Drosophila melanogaster: one gene and its partner. The gene in region 2 interacts genetically with the main gene of each other region. Each region holds a gene or a part of one and is shown on either strand. Other genes may lie near its edges. The genes, in order: tut and cbc.

Evidence for each region.
Region 1: of cbc (region 2) and tut, changing one enhances a phenotype caused by changing the other (phenotypic enhancement), as found in Drosophila melanogaster (one study listed by BioGRID).

Annotation. Positions count from the first base shown.
Region 1 is NT_037436.4:8,205,894-8,216,920, forward strand, and holds tut (tumorous testis), read right to left. Parts: upstream 4,851-11,027; 5' UTR 4,779-4,850; coding exon 4,665-4,778; intron 4,599-4,664; coding exon 4,420-4,598; intron 4,365-4,419; coding exon 3,965-4,364; 3' UTR 3,684-3,964; downstream 1-3,683. Other genes in the region: CG8006 (uncharacterized protein), read left to right, coding at 6,072-7,583; CG8012 (uncharacterized protein), read left to right, coding at 9,609-9,638, 9,707-9,925. UniProt on the Drosophila melanogaster protein: RNA binding protein that forms a complex with bam and bgcn, involved in 3'UTR-dependent regulation of a subset of mRNAs. Preferentially binds a long isoform of mei-P26 transcripts.
Region 2 is NT_033778.4:13,475,367-13,487,409, forward strand, and holds cbc (crowded by cid), read right to left. Parts: upstream 10,026-12,043; 5' UTR 9,919-10,025; coding exon 9,826-9,918; intron 9,758-9,825; coding exon 9,205-9,757; intron 9,115-9,204; coding exon 8,607-9,114; intron 8,539-8,606; coding exon 8,421-8,538; 3' UTR 8,146-8,420; downstream 1-8,145. Other genes in the region: arr (arrow), read right to left, coding at 6,410-6,602; CG43192 (uncharacterized protein), read left to right, coding at 1,993-2,128, 2,183-2,325, 2,382-2,514, 2,574-2,674; cid (centromere identifier), read left to right, coding at 10,325-11,002. UniProt on the Drosophila melanogaster protein: Required for endonucleolytic cleavage during polyadenylation-dependent pre-mRNA 3'-end formation.

The DNA of each region.
Region 1 (11,027 bases), on a different chromosome or scaffold from region 2:
ATTGACTTGCCCTGGCGTTTTATTGATTGATTTGCAATGCCACGAGCGGCTGACAATCAGCTATCAGCCACCATTGGGCTTCCGATGGAGCAACAGCCTTAGTTCAGCTCAGCTCACGTTGCGTATGCGTAATATTGTTATGCCACATCCTTGCACGCTCCTCCATGGAAAGTTTGCACAAGAAATTCAAGCAATGATCAAGTGTACATTTTAATGAAGCCGCCTCCGTACTCGTTCTCGTATATATGTATGTATGTAAATACAATAAATTGCGCACCGAAATCAACTCTATTGCATGCCAATTTCCGGACCAAAAATATGAGCGATTTTCATATGCTTGGCAGTGGGGAAAAGTTTTTTCATTAAAATTCTCGAATGGTGGCAAGTGGCAAGTTTGGCCAGAGAAGTGGGTAAAAGCCCAGCTGGGCTAAGTGAGTGCAAAATGTTATTTTATTGTCAACAAGCAAAGTTGCCACAACCACTCCGAAGACGAAAACCAGAGCCGCACGACTTGTCGTGGCGGATGTCAAATTTATTTAATATGCAGCATAAACAAAGCAGCCAGGACACGACGACACGCTCGTAAACTCATTTGCCAGCGGAAACAACAGTTCCCACCGGCTGCTGTTGGCAATTTTTTAATACGACCTCAAGGACCGACTTCCTGCTCCAAGTCCTGTCTTCATTCGCCTTATGAAAAGTAAATATTTTTGCGTTTTCTATATGTATGTATATCCTATTCGGACAGGGTAACGCCCACAACTTTTTTCATTAATTTGTATAATCCAGAGTGCTAGTCCCAAACCGAAAAAAAAAGAGAAAACCCTAAGGAAGGCATTACGTAAAAGTCAATAAAAGTGTTGTTTTAACTTCTGACACTTTTGGCCTTCCTCGGCACTCATTGTCAACTTCTGCTTTCAACGCAGCATCTGGGGGAATTTTCATAATTTTTGGCTACAAAGTTGAATTGATTAATAAAATATGAGCTGATGGGTAAGGGAAAGTTTGTCAAAGAATATTACAAAAAATGTAATTCTTTAGTGCTTGTACTGAATTGTTGATAAGTGCTCTTCAAATCAGAAGGATGGTTATTAAAAATGTTAATGCAAATCGTTCCAAATTGAAATGTGTTTTAAATAAAATTTAAAAATATATATTTACTTTATTACAATTATATTAGCAAACATTTTTAGCATTTTGTTTTACTCTATTGCAGAGCATTGACTTAATGGAACTTTAAACATCCTGTTTGTTTGTTTTAAATGATTGTTAGCTTGTAATTGTAAGTTAATGGACTTGCGTTTACTTTTCATTTAAAACAAAAACAATTGTTTTGATAAAATATTTTAAATTTGCTGGCAACGAAAGTTAATCAGGGTTTTTATGCTTGCAGCTGCAGCTCTTCATCATCATTTATGAAAACATTTCAGCGTTTCAGGTCTGGTTAACATGCAAATTTAATCGGCAAACTAGTTGCTAACTTTTTAAAGACGAACCAAAAGCTCATATTGAATTCTTTCCATCCGCCAATCATGCTTCGTACTCCATCTGGTTAAACCAAAGCCACCGGAGAATGGAAATGATGATGGGGCCCAGAAAAAACAAGCAGAATCATCCATATTCATGATGCATGTCGGTAATGGCATTTCCAAGCCAACGACAAGTTGCTTAAAAAATCATCCAAAAATTCGAGTTAAGTGCTAGAGGTTTGGCGGCTCCTCCCATCCCCTCCCCACCCCTCATCCACATCCTCAACCTTACCACATCCGCGTCCGTATCCAGTGCCACAAACTCCTCCTACGTTCTCCTCCGCCACATCGCTATATCATGCACATCTGTCATGCTCTTTGCTGCAGATGCGGTTAGAGAAATGCACGAAAATGGAAAAGGGCCAGGAACGGAACTAAAACTGCACTCAAAAAGCTGAAAGCGGCAAGAAATTGGGTACAGGCACATTCCCCTTAAAGCTTGAACTCAATATGTGCATAACTTTCGCTTTCCGGCGACAGAACCCCCCCAATCCCATTCCTTTGCCTCCTTTGTCCCAGGCAATCTGTGACCCAAATCCAAGGACCGACCGCTTTAAAGCCTAAACAAACTGTGTCAGTTGGCAGGCACTCCCACTTGCTCCTACTCCCCCACTTGACTTTTGGGCCCCAGTACCGCTCCTTCGACAACACTATACGTCCCCCTTATATTCTTTGCCGCTCGCATCGAAAGGCAAATATTGGCACTTGCCGCAATAACCAGGTAAGCTCTGGCTGAGTTGCCCTCCATCGCAGACTCGAAAATGGGTCACACCACAGTGGTGACCAGGAAAGCAGGGGCACCACAATAAGACTATCATGTAATATATATATTTTATATCTCTGTTTTTCAAGCATGTAAAGTACAATTCTTATGGTTACCAAGATCTTCACTATTCCGATAAAATAAAACGTATTTTAACTTAACTTTGTTTTTTCATTGGTTTCGCGAATTTTAAGGATATAAAAAGTAAAGGAAACTATTGTTTGGCTCCCATCTGTAAGTTGAAAAACGGATGACTTTATGATGGCAAGTAGAGCAAAATTAGAAGCAAACTTCGAGCCTTTGTAATTGCGTCACAGATGCGGCTTCATGACTTTAACCCTTCGACGGCGAGCGGAGGAGTGCTTTGCGCCGGGGATTGCCAATGGGTTAAGACTCGTACAATCCCTCGCATGGCTTTGAAATTTTAATGGGCTTTAAGCGAGTGAACAGGGGCGTGGCTGTCGCGCTTGAATTAACAAATTAATGCAAATGATTTTGGAAAACATTCAGCTCGGCTTGTTTTTCCCTGAATGCCCCGAGAGGATGTCTCGACTTAAGCTTAATTCAATGAATATTTATGAGGCTTCCAGAATATGCCAGTCGCTTCTTATTTTTGCATCATCATGTTACGGCTGCATTTCGATTTGAGGCTCTAATTTAATTGCAACCGTGCAGAGCTGAGCAGGACAACAACATCCGTTTCCGCCTGCCACGACATCCCGTCAAGTGCGGCAATCGCATTAGAATGCGCAGCGGACCTGTCCCTCGCACCTCGCGTCCTGTGCATCCTTCGCCTGACGGATGTCTTGCGCTCCCTCCACTCCCGTCCGTCGATCATTGCACTTTGGAGACCCGTAATCTGGAGTCAGACCCGGTACCCAGACACCGTGTCCAACACAATGCCAGCCGGAGGCTAGCGTCGACTCCTGCTCGCTGCACTCATTTAATTGCATTATGCCGCAGGTTGTCGCATTGCCCTGAAAGTCCTGGCTGCCACTCCGCCACTCCAAAGACACTGCATTAATTTGCATGTGAAAAACTGCAGCTTCGCTGCGCTGTCGGTGTTGTTTTTTTTATTTTTTTTTATTTTTATGGCTGCTCGCTGTTTTTGCCCAGAGTTAATGAAGTCAACAAGCTGCGGCTGCATTTCATCAGAGTGAGAAGCGGCGGGCCAAAAGGATTTGCCAGGAACAATGCTGTGTATAATTTCCCCCTGTCCTAACAACTGGTGAAAGTTTATGTTACATTCGCATGGGCAGCAACATAATTTACTGCCCAGAGAGCCACAGGAATTCCAAAATCCGCTTGGTTAGTTTTTTTTTAAGGTATAGTATGCATTCTAAAAGTGATTTGATATTTGGCTTTAAAATTTCATTAAAAAATCAGAGATTAACTTTGCAAAACACATATTCTTGTTTTCAAATTCCACGTATTACAAAAACTTACACAAATCAAGCAATAAACATCTTCATTCATATCTAAATGGTTGACTTATTTAAGAGTACTCTTATTTTACTTATAAACTTATTTAACAATAGAAAAAATATAACTAAAGTATTAAAGTATTTTATACATTTTCGTCCTACTTACGTGTAGTACAAACAAAACATTTGGAGCCTTATGGATTTGGTAGCATGAACCAATAAAGTAACATACTTGATACCACTTCCATTTAAAACTTGAAACAGCCCTTTTGTCTGGGAGGAACGCGTCGAGTACGATTTTGGCTTACTTCCCGTTGAAAACAGAAGCTACCGCTGGCTCTGCTCAAGATGTTCTCCGCAGTCAACCAGGAGATGTGCGCATGCTCACCGAATTTTCTGATCGAATTCCTTACTCTCTGATGGGCACTTGCGGCCGAGTCGTTGTTGCGGTACTCAAATATATAGAAGAACTGGTCTAATTGATACTCGTAGACTCGAACGATGGTAAAGGGATGTATCTTCAACATCTCCTGGTACACTTGCCATGGTCTAAGCGACGATTCTACGTTTTTGAGCACCAGCTCGCGATTGTTGGTCGATGGCTCCACCCTTAAGCACATGCAAAGCTGTCGGAATCGCATTGGCAGACTGGGATTATTAGGGTTAGTGCTGTTTTATGTGAAAATTATTACGAAGTACGTACTATTGCATTGCCGATTCCTTGAGGTCCACATTGATATATTGCAAGTAGGCGTAGCCGCGAGAATTTCCCGAAAAATCAATCTTATAGCGCATAATGTAAACTTCACCCAGTTCGCTGGCCACTTCCACAATCCACCGCGGAGAACAACTGTGATTCCTCGGTATACACGAGAGAAACAGCTAGAAGCAAAAACGTATTAGTGTCTCCGTAAACTTTTGAGACTAGATGCTTCACTAGACACTCACCTCGCCCTTTCCCTCATCCAGTAAGGATTTTAGATTTTCATCAAGGACTTTGCGCGTAGTTATGGTAATAGTGCCATTTACTTGACTGGTGCAGTATTTGCTCTCGAAATCCATTTTAAAAATAGCAAAAAAAAAAAAATACACAGCATACACGCGTGCATCAAAAAAAAAAAAAAAAGCTAAGATGCCAATGATTTAGTGTGACCAAATAAGCTTTAAAACATACAACGCTCGCGACGTTGCCAGATAGTCAATGAAGTTGGTAAAATTCTTTATACTTAACACTTAGGTAAAGTAACGGAGGGGCATAAACTTATTATTGTTTATGAACTTGTTTGAATGTTTAACATTTGTGTAAAATAGAGAGTGTTTTCATATTATATTTTTGCGTAAGAGGTCTTTTTTTGGCATTGCTGCGAACTCAGCTCTATACGAAGGTATTCTATTTTTGCTATGTACTTTATGCATTTACTTTACTCTTTTTCCAAACCGCTTTTTGCATGTCAGGCAATTTCTTTGCTCTTTATTTTTGCTTTCTTTTGACAGGCTGCGCGTGCTTTTTTCTAGCTCATGTTTAACAATATAAATTTATGCAGGCAGTCGGTCGTTTGCAACTTTTGCTCACAGTTCGCCACAAGCCGCAGCACCTATGTATGTATGTATGTAGGTTCGCATCGCATTCGCTGTTGTTGTTGCTGCGGTTAAGCCGCCCATCCGCCACCCACTCCACCACCCACTCACCCCACCAGGGGGCATCTTGATGGAGGTTGCGGTGCACTCAAGTGCCTGCTGCCGCTGCTGCTGCTTCATTTTCCTAATTTATACGCGCGCTGCGCTAATGAAAATTTACGTGGCAACCGCATACTGTTTTGTTGCTACTGCTGTTACACTAATAATTCATTGTTTCGAAATGGCCATAAGCAAATTACTGACATTAAACTATTTGTGGGAGGTAACATGTTGTTAGATTAATACACAACAGTTTTCTTAAATGAAGTGGTAAATGCAAAAGCTATCACTGTGAAGTCCAGTTTAGTCCACGTAGTGTAGAGACGCACCAGGTAAGAGTGTTTCGACAAGAAAATCCATTAAGTTCTTTGAAAAGTAAGCTCTGATATTCTTTGTTTAAAGTGTAGTGTCGCTGCTCCTTGTGCTTGTTGCCAGACGTGGGCCCACCACTTGAAGCATCTCTGAGAAACCCTGAGCTCCACTTTTGACCCCCCTCCCCTTTCTGCGGTTGAGAGACGTTTGGTGACAGTCGCCGAGTAAGGCCACTAGTCCCACTTATATTTCCGCATTTCCTTACCCGATTTGAGTAAGCGGTTTCATTTTATTCAAATCATTAAAATTACAAATATTTTTTGGGAACAAAATCAGTTGATTCCGGTTGAATATGCGAATGTGGCCATGAAGGATCTAAGCGAGGAGTTACTGGATCGCCATTTCAGGCAGCAGCTAGCCAGTTACAAGTATGCCGATCAGGCAAGGGCTAAGCAGTCGGATCGCCCCATCATGGCCAGATGGATAAAGATATTCGAGAAGGCTCCTCTCAGCGAGAAGTTGGCCCGAAATAGCCTGATGCTGCTCATGCATGGCCACTTGAAGGACTTTGGAGTGCTCAAGGAACCGTTCACGGATGTGCGTAACTACAGTAGGAATCTGAACGTAATTTTGGATGAGTACAGAGGCCAGCCATGTAAGAAGTTAGCTACTGGCAAATCACCTACACTGCTCAAGAAGTGCTCGACTCAAATTTTACGACCCAGGAAACTGGAACCCATCAAGGAGGTTTCCGAACAATCGGAAAATGATCCTACGACCAGTAGTTTTGCCAGCATTGTGACAATAATACGAAAAACAAATACGCGATCCTCTGACTCGAAGGATAGCCAAGTTTATCCAAGGACTGGCTTCGAGTCCCCAAATGGTGCTGATAGTCACACTGTGAAGAAGAGAGTCGAACTATTGGAGTATGAGCTCTCGAGAAATAAGCAGCATCCATCGAGCTCCACATTCAATCGGGATGCACCTGACAGCGGAAGAACCCATTCCTCCAGTTCCTTATCCCAAGAGAAACTCATCAAGATCACCAATGTCATAGATCAGGTCAACCGCCGATCAAGTGCTGTGAAAAATCTGAGGGATTGCTTTGAGGAAATGGCCGAACGTTTGAAAAACACAATCGAATCAAAATATAAATCGAAGATTCCGCCGCCAAAGCCGCCAAAGAAGATTCATAAGGATGTTCCTGCCGAGCGAGCCAGTGCCCAATGCCATTCTCCTATTGGCGTTACGGACCCAACTGTTCAGGGATTGCTGATGCGTAGAGAACAGCTGCGTGTCCAGTGCTTGGCATACTACAACTCGGATGGCACGATGAAGGATGTGATGGACATGCCTGATCTCTCAATGGATACTATGAAAGCTGAACAGAGAGTCAGAGGGTTCATAGTTGGTGCCTACAAGGCCTTGGAGCGTCTGAAACGCTGGCGCGGAAAATCCAAACGGTTGAGATTTTTCCAAACCTGCTTCCAGAAATTTGGGCTTCGTAATTTTTGGGAACTACAGGCTCTGGATCGAAGATTCGAGAGGGTGGCGCTCAAGTGGTATCGCCATAAGGTGATGGCATGTCTACAGAACACCTGGCTTACTTATCGCAGAAGCATCTTGGCCCAGAAGCTATCGTACGACGAGGACGATCTACAGCAGATGCGCCACCAGATTGAGCTGCAGGAGGAGTTGCAGCGGGAGCGAATGGTCCACCTGGCCAAGATCATGGAACTGTGCAGGAGCAACTGTCACGGGATCGTCACGCATAAAGTCCTTAGCAAGATGCTCGATCGCCTGGAGGATGAACACGACCAGCTGGCCCGGGATCTCAAATCACTGCTCCGCCAGAAGGACCAACTGTTCCAGTAAAGCATCCTGCGAATCCGCAACTTTTCTCGCACCAGATTTTTGATATCATTTTGCACCTTTGTGTAAGCCCGTTTACACCGCGAGCTACGCTGCTCGTTAATTAATTTAAATACTACGCTTTATTAAATTAAGAACTGCTGACAGGGATACAAAGTGAACGGGCGAGTTGGGGAAAGGGACCAAAGCTGGAGATGACTACACAATAAACAAACAATCTACTCGTAAACAGCAGCTATTTTTTAGTTATGCAATGTTTCCGTTGCAGCTTTGCGAAAACCAGAAACGGAAGCTGCGTTACAGGGTTAAAATAGAATAGAATAGACATTTTGTTAGCAAGCAGGGATTTAGCAGCAAAGCCAGTCGGTAAAGAATACAAAAAGCAAAAAAAAAAAAGGAATTCAGAAAAAGCCGGGAAAAAGGCAAGCGAAAACTGTCGCTAAAAGCAGTTTTCCAAAGTACTTTCCATCGAGTTGGCTGGGCGTGGTCGCCATTGAAGTCCATCGGTGGTCAGAGAACTTGCCGCAACTTAATATCCGCAAAGTATCCGATATATATATACACATATATAATTATGGCAGCATAAGCGTACAGTATATATAGGGTACATTGTACACTGAGCGCAGTTATAGGTAGGGCATAAGTGATGGCTTCATCGGGCTTCGTTTGGCTTGTGAATTTATGGTCTATATTCGGAAATTTGCATAGAACGCTCTGTCGTCTCACAAACACCTCCCCTTTCCCCCCACCTACCCTTTCCCTACCCATTAAACTCGTCTACGTCTGAATTAATTAATTATTTATAGCTTGCGAAGCACGATGCTACCCTTCGCTACCCTGCCCATCGTTGGCCATGTTTTGGCCCGGTTGCAAATTCAGCTGGCAGTTATGGCTTAAAGTGCCAGTGGTGTCCTAGACCGGAGGCTTTAAGCAAGACGTCACCCTTGGAAATTGGCAATTGGGAATTGGGAATAGGTCTTATCTAAGCGAAGTGATCGCAAAATATGGTTTCGTTTCAATCCCCCATTTCATAATGCATGGGGATGCATGTCAGGCACGCACACATAATTATAATTTTTACAACGTCTAAGTAAACGCAAATATTTTATGCAAAGTGCCAGCTTTTGAGGGAGGTTGGGAGAGAGGGGTATTTGGTGACTCAGGTAGGGCGGTTCTACCTGTAGTAATGAATGGCTGTCCAAAGAAGGCGGCGCGACATTCGCTGCTAGCCATCAATTGTGAAACAAAGGGTATCAAATGCGGCTGCGGAATCGTTTGGTGTTTGGCAAACTTTGTGACGCAGCCGGAAATGGTGCTAAATATGGAGAAAGTTGAGGCTGCGAAAGCGAAAGGGAAGTTATCGAAAGAATAGGTATCCATTGATTTCTTATCTTAGCTTTATCGTTTTTAAATTGATAAAACTGGTTAATCATGTACCCCTTTATTGTATAATGAATTATTATATCAGTGTTATGTATAAAATGTTTGTTCTAGATTTCCTTATTGCATATTACTCTAAGTCTTCTACTAAATCAAGCAAGGATTAACTGATTACTTTCCAAATTAATTCTACAATTTTTAATCGTATATTTATGTTTGTTGCAATTTTATGACAACATCTTTGTATTTTCTTCTTGATCATCAAAATTTCGAAATAATTTTTTTTCAATCACTTTTTAATAACCATTTTATGACCGACAGAGTACACGGGAATTTCATCAATTTGAGACGCTTATTAGTCGTTGTCTTATATTTATTCTTTCTCGGCAATTTCAAATAGCATTAAGAATATAATTTATGCCACTCAGCGCACTCAGGTCTAGCAATATTAATGATGGCCCAACTGCTCCGACTCTCTGCCCGGTTCTCAACGATTCTCTGGGCCGATCCGATGTGATCCGATGCCCTGCCCTCCAGCCAAAGGCTATAAATATGATTGACTAGCCCGGCCAATCGAGCAGTGAAATTTTGAGTTTCGTTTCGCAAAGCCAGCCAGCCAGCCAGCCAGTCCGCAGGAGCAGTAATCGAATGGGAGTCATGTTGGTCAAGGTCTTGATGGTGAGTGCGCCGAACTGTGGATATATGGATTTGTGGATATATTTCAAACCTATCAATAATCCTGCCAGTTCGCATTGTGGCTCGTGGCCCTGAGCCAGGCGAAGCCCCAGCTGTTGGTCACGACGCCAGTGAGTTATGCCACCGGAGCGGGTGCCTCTTGGCTGGCTCCCTCCTCCGCCGCTTACTATCCGGCGTATGCCAGCTATCCGGCCTACGCGGCGTATGCGTATGCACCGGTTTATGGCGCATACGCCACGTATCCATACTACTCGTATCTAGGGCGGTGAATCCTGCTGCTGCGGGCCAACCGGAATACTAGGTGAATTTGTAGCTATTCCGGGCTTGTGTACAGTGGCAGCAATGTTCCACTTACTAGAAGCAGTGTGATTGGATTTACAAACGTAAGCTGAGTATAAGAAATTAATAACTTTTTTGTTTGGTAAATGTAAAAAAAATATTACTCAAAGTGATTGCAATTGCTACAACTAATATAACATTTAAAGTGTCCCTTGTGAAATTAATGTTCCTTAGATTTATAACTAAAATCTATAGCTTTCTTTTGAAATTGAAAATTGGCCCACCTTTAGATAATTCTTTAAGATTATTAATAAACAATCCTTGTATAAATATAACAAATATCGAAATGCAATAAATAACTGTCAACTCGAAAAGTGCCAACTAAAATGTTATCTAAATACAAAACTCAAAGACCTCGCTGTGAATATTTTCATGTCCTGTTTGTGTGTGTGCTCGGAATAATCCAGTTGGCAATGTTCTATTTTCCCTCGCGCTTGATTCGTTTTGGCGCCTGAAATCAAAGCGGCATAAATACATAAAATGATAAACAAATCAATAAATGGCAAGAGGCATCATCTACCTTTAGCCAGGTTCTGTGGGATTTTCCGTTTGCGTTTTCCTCTTTTCCAGCACATTTTGCCCTCCGTCGTTCCTCAAATTTGCTTACATCTGCGCATATTTTCACTTGCACGTCTTCAGTTGGGAATAGGGAGTTGTTGTGGATGGGGAAAACTGGGGTAGGAGTACTAAGGAGGAGTCCTATGGAGGAGTACGAAGGAGCACGGGTAGGGCAGGATGTCGGTTAGTATCTTGGTAACGCGCTACTGATTTACCTTACGTGTATAAATCTTTTATTCATGTAATCCATTTGAAAAACACGTTTGCACATGATTGTGTTCGTTTCGAAAAAAGGGAATCTTTCTAACATATGTACATATATGTCTGGCACATCCGACTTTTATATGTGCGGTTCGTGTGTGCGTCTGTATTTGATTTGAAAAATCGTCAAAATTATATAAAGTGAATACAAATTTCATTTGCTCGGTTTTATTGCTTCGCCAGTTGCCATACAAACATCGGTTGCCAATTGCC
Region 2 (12,043 bases):
TTTTTTAACTTTGACGTTATCGAACTCTTTCCCTTTTGTCCATCAAAAACCATTAAAACTTAGCATGAACCATCTGTGTGATAAATTAGTTTTTGTGGTTTTCTGGTTTCACTTGGCTTGTTTTCTACCTATGTATAACTAATGATGCTGATGTATCCAGGAGATTGCTGGAATTCGGCATCGTGGTTTAATTTATGCGTTAGCCAGTGAATTTTTATTCTTCTCTGGCTGCCAGTCTACAAAGTTTTGATTGGCTTAGTTAAAGGATCTTCTAAAAAAAAATACAAACCAGACGAAAAAAAAATATATATAAGCAGCCTTAATTTATCGTTCGACAAAAGTTAATTAAAAAATCAATCGAGGCGTTTTCGCTTGGCCCACAAATCATCCAAAGTGTCACTTAAATTATGGAGAAGATACCCTCTCCGGGGAAAATCAAATACGATATAAAAAAAAAAACGAGCTCTGGACAAATTAGTATGCACAACAGGTTAAAAATTGACAAACGCCAGTCGAAGAGGCAGCTGCAAAAGGCAAAAAAAAAAAGAGCAACAGGAAAAATGCCAAATATAGAGAGGGTATAAAATAATAAAAGCCATAAATAAACTTTAAATTGGTTTTTTTCCAACGTCTAGATAGGAAGCGTGTTCCGAGGTACAAGAGTGAAATAAATTAGCAATTCGTCGAACGGGGAGACTGCTGGCTGTTGGACTATGAAGTCGAAGGATCTGCCAACGAGCTGCGAATTAATGTTTCCTCCCAGCAATATTAGATAACGAAACCCGAGACTCGACCATCGCCATATGGAGTTCAGATCTTTGGCCAAAAAAAATAAATATATATATATATATATGAAAATAAGAAGGAAGGAAACTCGGGAGCCAATGAAACGTAAACAAGAACGGCAGTCAGAACAATTACACGAAAACAAAGAGCAGTCAAAAGGCCAAAACAAGCCAAAAACCAGAAAAAAAGAACCGAAAAAACAAGGTATAAAGAAGAAAAAGAGGAAAAACATTTCTGGCCAGGTTTGTTGATTGTACGGATATGTGTGGTGGAAGGCATGCTGGGCCTGGCCTCTAAATGACCGGCTTGGCTTGGAAACGAGTCGCAAGTGGCCAAGTGGGACCGGGACAGGGCGACTGCGGGGACTGCTGGCGGCCCAAAAGGGTCTGGGCCATGATTTTGGGCCTGGGTCTGAGCCCGGTCTCGTCTCTTAACGATGTGCATGTTTATGCGCTGCTCTGCTGCGTTGCAGGCAACGCACGAACGCCCAGACATTTAAAGCGGCGGAGGCAGCAACGACAACCAGCAACCAAAAGGAACCCCACCAGCCACTGCGGCCGACGAAGGTGGCCAGGAGCAGCGGGATGGTGGAGCCGGGTGGGGAGCTTGTTAGCAAGGGAGACACGGCCAAGATGCCAGCTAGTGATGGGCAACTCAAGGGAATCAGAAACTATCGTTTATTCAAAGTAACCATAAGCATTTACTTTACTTATATTACTTTAGAATATTTGATCATAAAATACTATTAATAAAAGTTTAGATTATACAGCTGGCCTAATCTTAAAACTTTCTATATATTTTATATAGTTCACACTTGAAAACTGTGACTTCACCTGTGACTGCGCTGGTCGCATTTGCATCGCCACATCCCTAAATGTTTCCGGAGTCGAGGAGTCCCCTTGTTTTTATTTCAGTTTCTCGTTCAGTTCGTTAGTTGGCCAAAGCCAACGGCTATGTTAAGTGGCACCATACACACAGATACGCACGCATACAGGCGCACGGAGAACAGGGTTGCCTGCGCGCCTGCAGATATGCAAATGGGTATAGAAATTTAATTACTTGCTGACATGTTTTGTGCCTTTAAATTGGCAACTTGTTGGATAAATTATGGTCGTATTATTATTTTATTCTCACCTATGTGATATGATGGCTTTTCAAAAACTGACAATATGTTGGAGAAAATTCAAGTGAATAGCTGTTTCTAACATGGCTTTGCTAAACAAATTCTTTTGTTGCTACTCGATCAGCACTGGAGTGGTTGTGATAGGAAGTTCCTATGTAATAATCGATTTACTTCGCCTGTTCTATCACCTGACTATCTTCTATTTCCCAGGGCCTGTTTGTAAATGCAATTTGCTTGTGATCGTTAAATGAATTTTCATTAACTTTTCTTCAGTTCGACATTGGTATTTTGAAAAACACAGCGGCGACGATGTCCACGATCTAATCACTGTTACAATGATGAAGAATCGTATTCAGGTTATCCTTGTCCTGCTGGTCGACCTTTTGACGGATATCGGACTGCTATTGAGCGTGAATGTAAGTAGCTAAATTGTTAAGTTAGTTATAGTTACTTTCTCACACTTAGTTATTAGTCTGGTATAATACCCATATTGATTTGGATATTAAAATCGATCTTCTTGGCCCTCGTCTACTTGATCGTTATTCTGTCCCTGTGCTTTGCCTATGCCCACATTATATTGGCCTTGATTTTCGTTCCCATATTTGGTAAGATATTGGGGCAGACAAATTATTCGTTTCACATTAATTACTTTTCCCATCCCAAGCAATGGAAATATATTTCCTGTTTATTGTGAGCCTGCATTTAGTGGAACTAGGTCTATCGAGTGACGTGAACGACGAGAGTCCCGATGAAACAGCCGTCTAAGTTTTGGATGGTTTTATTATGCTATTAAAGAGAGTTCCTAAAAAAAAAAATAATAATAAACACAATCGTTAAATTAACGATTTGCCATGCGAACAACTCGTTTAAACTGCAAACGGCAAAGGAGTGCTGGCCGAAGTGCGAGTGAATCGAGATGGTGGATAACCAGCTGGGAATGCCCTTAGCCTATCAATGTTTCCCTTTTCGCAATTAACATTTGTGGAACACACGTAATTACAAGATTACGATAAGTGATAAGCGACGGCAACGGCAAGAAGGATGCAGAAGTTGGCCAAAAGCAGTTGGACGGGTTCGCGATGCGTTTTGTTGTTGCACTTGTGGCAGTTGCATACACATATTTGCATATGCCAACCGCGCTGCATATGGTAGCCAATTTGTTGGCAATACCAAAACCAATTAAGCAGATGCACAGGAAAATAGAATTTATATCAAATATTTTAAGCATTTCGTTAAGTAAGAAACTGTAGAAATACAAATGTTTCTACAGGCAGTCAGCCACTTTATCAGTTCGGAACTCCTTAGCATTTTATTTTCTACACCAATCCAACTTTATAAAACTAATAAATTAGATTATTTTTCTCTGTGTAATATATACGCAATACGCACAGCCGTATCAGCCAACACACAGAGGTCAGTGCCAGACCAACCCGCCCACACACACAAATCTGTGGTCGGAGTAGGGCGTTCGTCGCGTTGATGAGCAGGATGATGCCATGATGCGATGATGATGTGGATGCAACCGAACTGCCGGGCATGCAACACAGATGCATTACACAAACGCCAGACTGACCACACCACAACATTATTGTTTAAATTGCAAAGTGATACATTTGTGCCGGCGGACCGAGAGTTTGCCATTGGTTTTAGCAGTTTGCATACGGAATGCAGATGGCTCCCAGGATGATTGGGTTAGTTAAAGCCCAATTGTGTTTGCTGTTCGTTTGAAGCGTTTCATTGGGCTTAAGTTTAAGCAGATATTCGGATGCAATAACTGAGAGGAAGCTGTTTAACAGCTATGCATTTCCATAGCAAACTAAATCAACAAGCTGCCAGTTGTGGAAAGTTTAACCGAGCTTTGAATAGTATGATTAAAGGTTTAGTTGATTAATTGCAATTCATGAGCTCATTTGGTGTTAGTATGTTTATAATTATGCAAAATTAGGTACGATTTTAAACTGTAAAACAGCTCAGGGAATTATAACCATATTACATTGGCATAATTGCCATTGTACGGATTGTGAAAAGCTTTAAACAGATTATAGAAACCCAATTAAAATAATTGCATTAATCTTTGTCCAAAATCTTATTTTCTACAGACAGTAAATTTGAAATGATTCTTTGCTAAAGGCTATTTAGACTGTTTTCTTTTGGCAGCTTACTTATGAAAATCACTTTCATTTATATAATTAAACTAGTTCATGCAATAGTTAACATTCTGATAGTATGCTAAACATCAAATTAAGATTTTAATTGCAACGAATAAACTGAAATTCACGCATGACTAATTGAGTTGGGCATTTTTAATTGGATAATTGGGAAATACTAGCGACTAATGCTTCCTAGGCAAATCCCGCGAGGAAAGACAAAGTGTATCAAGTGTTGACTGACATTCCTAAGCCAATGTCAAGCTGGCTGTTGGAAAGTTGAAAGTGGAAATGGTGCACACATAAATGAAATCAAAATCAATGTCAACAACAGTGAAATGTCGAGTGTCCCGCGGGGACGCAAAGGATGTCAGCCAGGATGGCAGGATGACTGGCTGGCAGGATGCCGTCAGTGGGCGGTGGATGTGGCGTCAAAGGCGCCGTCGCCTTTGAAGTGCTCCCATTACTACTAAACTGGCGTTACTACGGCGTAGTAAATAGAAGCTAAAGCAAATAGCGCTTACGTAAAGGGACCAAAAAAAAGGGGGAATCCCCCACACGGCATGACAGCAGCGCGCAAAAACGTCAGTTAGCTGCAAAAAAGAACAAGGTTTAAAGAAGAACTGGGTGGCCGGTGGGTAGTGTGGAAGTGGTGGCATGGGTGGCATGGATGGCATGGGTGGCATGGGCGGCAAATCAACGCTGGCAAAAAACACTTTGTGCGCGCGTCAAAGTGTTAAAGAAAGTAAGCATCCAACCAGCCGCCCACACACCACCCACACACGACAGAGAGCTGGCCGGGAATGATGGAAGATGGGGTTTTTTTTCCGGAGCTTTGTGTACATATTTGATGCGCTTTTTTTCCTCCCACCCGGCTCGACAAATTTAAGTTTTCGGGCTTCCTTTTCGGTGCGGCGGCACTTGCTTTGTGGATGCCCCCATGCATGCTGGAGTACTCGCAATTCCGGACTCCGAAAAAACTTCGGATTGCAACTGAAGGAGAGAGCCGGAAAAAAAAAATAAAAAAACGAAGAATCCGAAGGCTTATCTTTCAGCCAAACACTCGAGCGTTTTTGGGGCTTAACGATGTTTGGACGGCCTTTGTCCATTTGCTATTTCCATATTGACTTGTCCCGTGCAGGTCCCTTCTACTTCAGTCCTTTGAGCCCCTTTTTTGAAGCTGCACTGAGAAAAACTTTCAAGGAGTCATGCAATATTAATCTATAGAAGAACTGTTTCAGCCCACGAAATTTGTAAGTTCCTCTTACAGACTTCATATCTTAACTTTACATATGATTCCCAACAGAACAGTTCATATAGAGTGGATCTATCGATTTACCATTAGATTTTAAATAATGTACAAGTTATACAAGATTTAATTGATGAGAACTGAACATTTTTCTGAGTGTATAATTTTTGAGCCTGGGTCAATGCTTTGTGCATTTTGAAATATGCCGGCAATTACCGGGCAACTTTGCCATATTACAACTGCTGAATTATTAGTGAGCTGCTTTTTTCAGCTCATTAGCGTCGCATCTAGTGGAAAAGTGTTTGGTGGGGCCGCAGAGTTGTAGTAGTCGTAGGAGTAGAAGTAGATGAAGAAGGGGGTACTAAATTATGCGCAGTGCAATCAAGTTGAGTGCGTACTACAGTCTAAATAAGTAGTAGTTGTTTATTCATAAAAGCATTGCGCCGAGAAATTGTCAGCCTTTGGGCTTTGACAACACGAAAAAGAGCTTAAAGGAAAACGCAAAGCGGCAAAGGAAGGGGCTAAAAGGCTGGGCGAGGGGCGGGGAGCGGGAAGCTCAAAAGTGCAGTTGAAACCACATAAACAAACGCATACAGTGGGCACTCGAACAGGCAACATGCCTGAAATGCAGTTCAGTTACTCATATTTTATCTATGGGATTTTAAGCTTTTAAATTCAGTGAATCATTGAAATAAGGAACTATACTATTAAGTAAATATTCTATCTGAATAGTAATTTTTGATGTACATATTGAAATTTTGCTAAATTAACTATTTAAAATGAATATTGACCAATAAATATAAATATCAAATATTGATTTGAGACTAAACACTCTCAATTTATAATTCAATCACTTGGGAATCACGCAACTACGTTGGTTCACATTAGCGAGCGATACCTGTAGTACAAAAGCCTTTGAGGAAAGTAGAGGAACGATATCAGCGAACCCCCATTCCCATTACAAACTGTCTATCCCTGCGGTTTTTTGAACTCAAAGCCCTCGCCACTCGTCAAATTAATCGAACTGCCATCAAATGCTTGTCAGTTCCCAGCTCCTTTGGCAAAACCGTTGCCCTTTGTTCGAAATGAAAGCACAGAACTTACCATTTTTGTACTGCCAACTGTTTGAGATGCCAAAGCAAATCAGTAGAAAGCCGATCAGCATTTGTCGCCAGCCCACTCCGCTGTTAGATTTCGTGCATTTCGTCGCTTTCGTTGTCACATCTTCATTATTATCTATAACTTGGCACAATTGAGGTTCGATTTCAGCAGACTTTGTGTATGGCTCGAGAGCCATCTTATTTTGGAAGCACTATCTCCGGAATTTTAAGACATTTGGCGCAAAAACAACAGATGACGCGACCCGATCGTGTTTGTCTTTTGTTAGGCGCACATGGTAATCACACGGAAAAACTGCAAGTGGAAGGGAGAGGGAGGTTTGAAAACAGGTCGCTCTCGAAAATCTTTCACTCCCTAGGGTATCAAATAACACCCTTGTTTTGAACTCTCGTTTGTAGTTACAACAGTATTTGCAGAGTTATGCCTGTTAGTAAATAGGTTTTAGGATTTTTGTTTTACTTTCTACGTATCTTTTTTAATAGATTAATATTGGTTCAACTGTTATGACTACAATACAATTCAAATTTATTTCAGTTTTGATCACTAGTGAGTTAATAACTTTTAGTTCCTCGTGCTCGCACTTTTGTTGCGTAGTGTAAGCTAGCTGTTGCTTATGTTGTTGTTATTTCAGTCTTTCAATTGAGTTTCCCGCTTCTTTGTTGACGAGTGTGATCGTCTTGTTTGCATGTGTGCGAGCCACCAATTGTTGTTGTCGTTAAGTAGCGAGTGATAAGCAATTGTGCAACTGTGTGAGGGCCACCACACCGCCATCACCCCCTCCGATCAACTGGTCGCCAAATTGAAATACTGTAAGTGATAAGGTGACTCTGGGTAATTAGGGAACCTCTTTTGCCGCCGCTTCTACGGCGCAACAAGCCGGCAATCGACGAATTGCGGTGCGTGCGCGTGTGTGTGCAACCCCCAGAAAGGCGCAGCGCTGCACTTTCCAGTGGAAAATTTCACGACGCAACCAAAACAAACGCCGTTTGCCGCTGGAAAATGCAGCAGCAACAGAGAGCAAGTGAGAAGAAAACACACAAACACACGCGCACACATGCACAGACGCACACACACACTGGGGGAAAACAGAACGTCTTTCAAGCAGGCCGTAAATTTAGATGCCCGAAAATCTCTTGTTTTGTTTTTAGAACCATTTGATACACATTCCAACAACAACATCAGCAACATCTCGCATGCTGCACAACAAACACGAAAAGCACGACAAATTCCACAGTATCTATGGTTTATGCCCGTTGAAAGTGTATTAATCGTCGCCGTTTCATCGCTATTTGTTGTTAAACCAACGCAATTCGACCGAGCGCAGCCATTTTGTGGTTACTTTGTTTTGTAAATATTTGATTTACTTTTCACTGAGTTTTCCGTCCGCCGTGTTGCCGTGTTTTTCGTCTCGCTCTTTCGAACAGTGTGACCGCACTGAGGCGACGTACGCAGCCGTCAGTATGGCTGCACCTAATTTGCCTAAATATTACCAATTGAGTGTTCTAAATATACCAAAAATATACTGGAAGTAGAGTAGACGTTTGGTTGCACACCTTGCTAAAAAAATTTAGAACACCATTTTGTTTGAATTATTTTCGAATAGAATTACATAATTTTACCAAATGGCGAAAAATGCACATTGCAAATATATTCAAATGCAATTTTTACAAAACCCTTTTTCAGTGGTTATAAGAAACACATAATAATACATACATACACATACAATACATATACTGAATATTATATTCTTGTATAGTTATAATTAATTATAATAGTTTTCAATTTTCAGAAATTACAATATTTGTTTGATATATGTTCTATTCTTTTATAGCAAAACTTAATTAATTTTTGCAAAATGTTATTAAATGTTATTTCAGTTGTTAAACTTGTGGAAAACTTTAAGTTTACTACTTGCACATCTAAACTGTATTTTTTGTAACGCCAACATTAATATAAAATTTCTTAAATTACATCTAGAGCAGAGCATTTACAAATGCTAGGTATGATTATCCATGAACTGCAGTTCCGACCACAGGAGCAGGGCGTTCGGGGGCAAAGGTCGCGGCTGCGGCGAAAGCAACATCACTGCCTGTCTTTCCATATCCACTTCGGTTCTGAGGATAATCAAATAACAATCATATATAACTAGTATAATATCTAGTTTAGGTTCAGCAGCACTTACACGCAACAAAAGCCGGCCACATTGGTGCCAATCACATCGTCCTCCACGGACTCGGCAAAGCTGAGGGCCAGCACATGATGGATTAGGGCGGGCGTGGGTGTAACCGCCACCACCTTGGTCTTGTTGTCCTCCGCCTTCATTCCAATTGGCATGCAGGAGTCGGGCAGCGGCGGTGCGCCGATCTTGTAGAGTCGCAGGTCCTGGAACTTCACCTCGAAGCTGAACGGATAGAAGGGCGCCCTTGTATTGCCGTAGAAGTACTCCTTGATGCGCTGATCCCTCGCCTCGTGTCGCAGTTCCTTGCTGCGCTCGACGACGCCGCCGCTCTTGGGCAGCAGTACCACATGAACTCCCTTGGGAACATCTCGAAGCAGCTCGTTGTATAGTCGCTCCTGGTCCAGAACAAAGATGGCACAGGCTCCATAGGCTTTGGCCGCGTGCAACAGGTGCGCGTAGCCGGATCCCTTTACCCAGCCACAAGTGTTTATAATAATGCCAGAGCTTTTTGCTGCAAAAAGCAGATGCAGAAATTTGCAGTTTATGAACGGGAAAATGTATTGAAAAGTGCAAAGATATGTGTTACACCTTCCCAACTTACTTCGCTTGTTGCTATTCAGAGATTGCAGTGTTACCTCTGCCATTTTGGAAACCACGGCATTGTACAGCACGCTGTTTCCGCTGGGAGACTTATGGCCAAAGTGATAGACCAGCGGCGCTGTCTTGGCGAATCCCTCCTCAACGTTCGCCGGTCGCTCGATGAGAATGGTGGCCACACTCCCGGAAATGGCAATCGAGCCCTGTCCAACATCCAGGTCGGCGTACAGCGGTCGACGACCCACGCGCACAGCATAGTTAAGCAGGATGCGGCACAGAGTGCTCTTGCCCACGTCCATGGGACCGACGACCATGGCCACTGGTCCGTAGCGATCCTTCTCCTCGGCCTCCATGCGGAACTGCTCCAGTGCCGCATGACAGTTGACGTACTGCACCATTGGCGTCTCCTTGGAGATGTAGCACACGTCCATTTTGCCGGAGACGTGGAGTACACAGCCCTGGTACGTGAAGATGGCCACCTTGGCGCCCACGCCGAACTCGTACTGCTTTTTCTTCACCAGCTCCGTGCCGAACAGCTCCGCAAATCCACTGACCAGCTGAAATCAACAATTTGATTATAAATAACGAATTTATTGTAATCCAAAAAGGTTTTTGCACTACTTACGGACACCAGCACTTTGGCATCCTTCTGCTCGATTTCAAAGCGCAGCTCGGAGTCGGACTCCAGTGTGTAGTCTTTGCCTTGGTCCTCCGACATGGCTGTATCTTCAGTGCTCTGCTAATGAGTTTTAATGGCGAAATAGGGTAATTATCCAAAAATTTAGGAGGTAAACAATTTCACATCAGCTGTGCACTAACGATGGGAATTGATCGATACCTGTATAGTAGTAATTAATCGATTTCTAGGGGTATAAATGATCACTGCAAAATAAGTTAAAGTACTGGACGTCTTTAAACAATTACCATGTATTCCCATTAATATTAATTGTCACATAAATAAACATATTTTAATTCTCAACTGCTAGAAATATATTTAGTTAGTCAGTGCCCATTCAAATCGGTATCGGTACTGGGCATTATTTGCTTTGCTTTATACGGTCACACTGTTCCAAAAAAGCGGGAATTCTTTAAAAATATTTTAAGCAAATACCGAAAATTTGAAAATGCCACGACACAGCAGAGCCAAGCGCGCACCCAGGCCGTCGGCGAACAACTCAAAGTCGCCGAACGACGACGACACGGCCTTCCGCTCGCCGGAGCCAGAAGACGGCACCGACTACGGCCTCGAATTCACCACCAGCCAACTGACGCTTCAGGACAACAATCGGCGTTCCTCGACGTTGCGCAGGGACGCCGGACGGAGGCAGCCGGCAGCGAGAGACAGCTCCACCAGTGGCGAGGAGGAGGACCAGGAGAATCGCTATCCCACAACCAGATCGCCGCAGACGCGTCGAATGACCGTGCAGCAGGAAAGCAAAACGCGAGCAGCAGGGCCAGTTGCTGCGCAAAACCAGACCAGGCGGCGCAAAGCGGCCAATCCCATGAGCAGAGCCAAGAGAATGGATCGTGAGATCCGGCGACTGCAGCACCATCCCGGCACACTGATACCCAAGCTGCCGTTCTCGCGTCTAGTGCGCGAGTTCATCGTGAAGTACAGCGACGACGAGCCGCTAAGGGTCACCGAAGGCGCCCTATTGGCCATGCAGGAGTCGTGCGAGATGTACTTGACGCAGCGGCTCGCCGACTCCTACATGCTAACCAAGCATCGCAATCGCGTCACACTGGAGGTGCGCGACATGGCATTGATGGCCTACATCTGCGACCGGGGTCGGCAATTTTAGTCCAAAAGAGAAGTTTAGGCTTAGTTTAGTTATTTGTTTGAATAGTTGTGTATATCCATTGTAGTGTTTACGTAATGAAAAGTTCAAAGAGTTTGTTACATCCCCCTTTTTGTACCAATTAGAATTAGCTTTAAATAAATATTTTTGCTCGACAAGATTGTTAATTTCACTCAAATGGTTCAAAGTAATCAATTCACTCAAATAACTCGTGATTTTTATAAGAATCGGGATGAACTTCACCAAATAAATAACATGTCATTGAGATACGTATAGCATTTCGTTTTATTTCTAGTTCTTGCTGCTTGCTTCGTCTCCATTTTCATGTACAACATAAAACATAATCCATAATAGTTTAACTATAAAGTTGCCGGCCAGCGCCGTGCGAGCTACAAACATAGGGTTTCAGCTAGGATTAGGATGCATAAGATGTAGTCACGCGAAACGCACTTAAATTATGGGCCTAGTCCAAGGTAGGTAGTGCGCTTTTTGAAATGAGTCACCATTTAGAATGTCGCGGCCCATCGGACGACCTCGATGTATAGAGAACTAAGCACTTAAACGAGTAACATGAATAGATAGATAGTTTAGATACTGGCCTCAACTGAATGTGGCAACTGCGCTCGCACTTGATCTGCTGTCTTTCGTGGGATGGATCGATTGCCAATGGGTGGTTACAGGACTTAAACGTAAGTTGAGCTTTCGTCAAGCTATTTTCTGGCTGGCGGCTCTGCTTTCTTTTTGGCATTTGCACATGTGTTAATTGGGCGCAGTAAAAGTACTGCTGTCTAGATATATTACAACTTACACAATCATACAAAATATAGGTATTTATTTTCTTTAAATATTTAGCCATATAATTGATATCCGGAGACTGCAACAGTTCTGTCTCCCAGCAGCCTTAGCCACTTTGCCTTCTTTGCTACAACGACGCGTTGTAAACTATATCCTAAAATGTAGGAGCCACATCTTGCTTCGCCCTTTCGCTAACTTCACTATCTGCTTTATTGTTTAGTTTCATTTCGTTTGGTTGTTTCTCAGTGG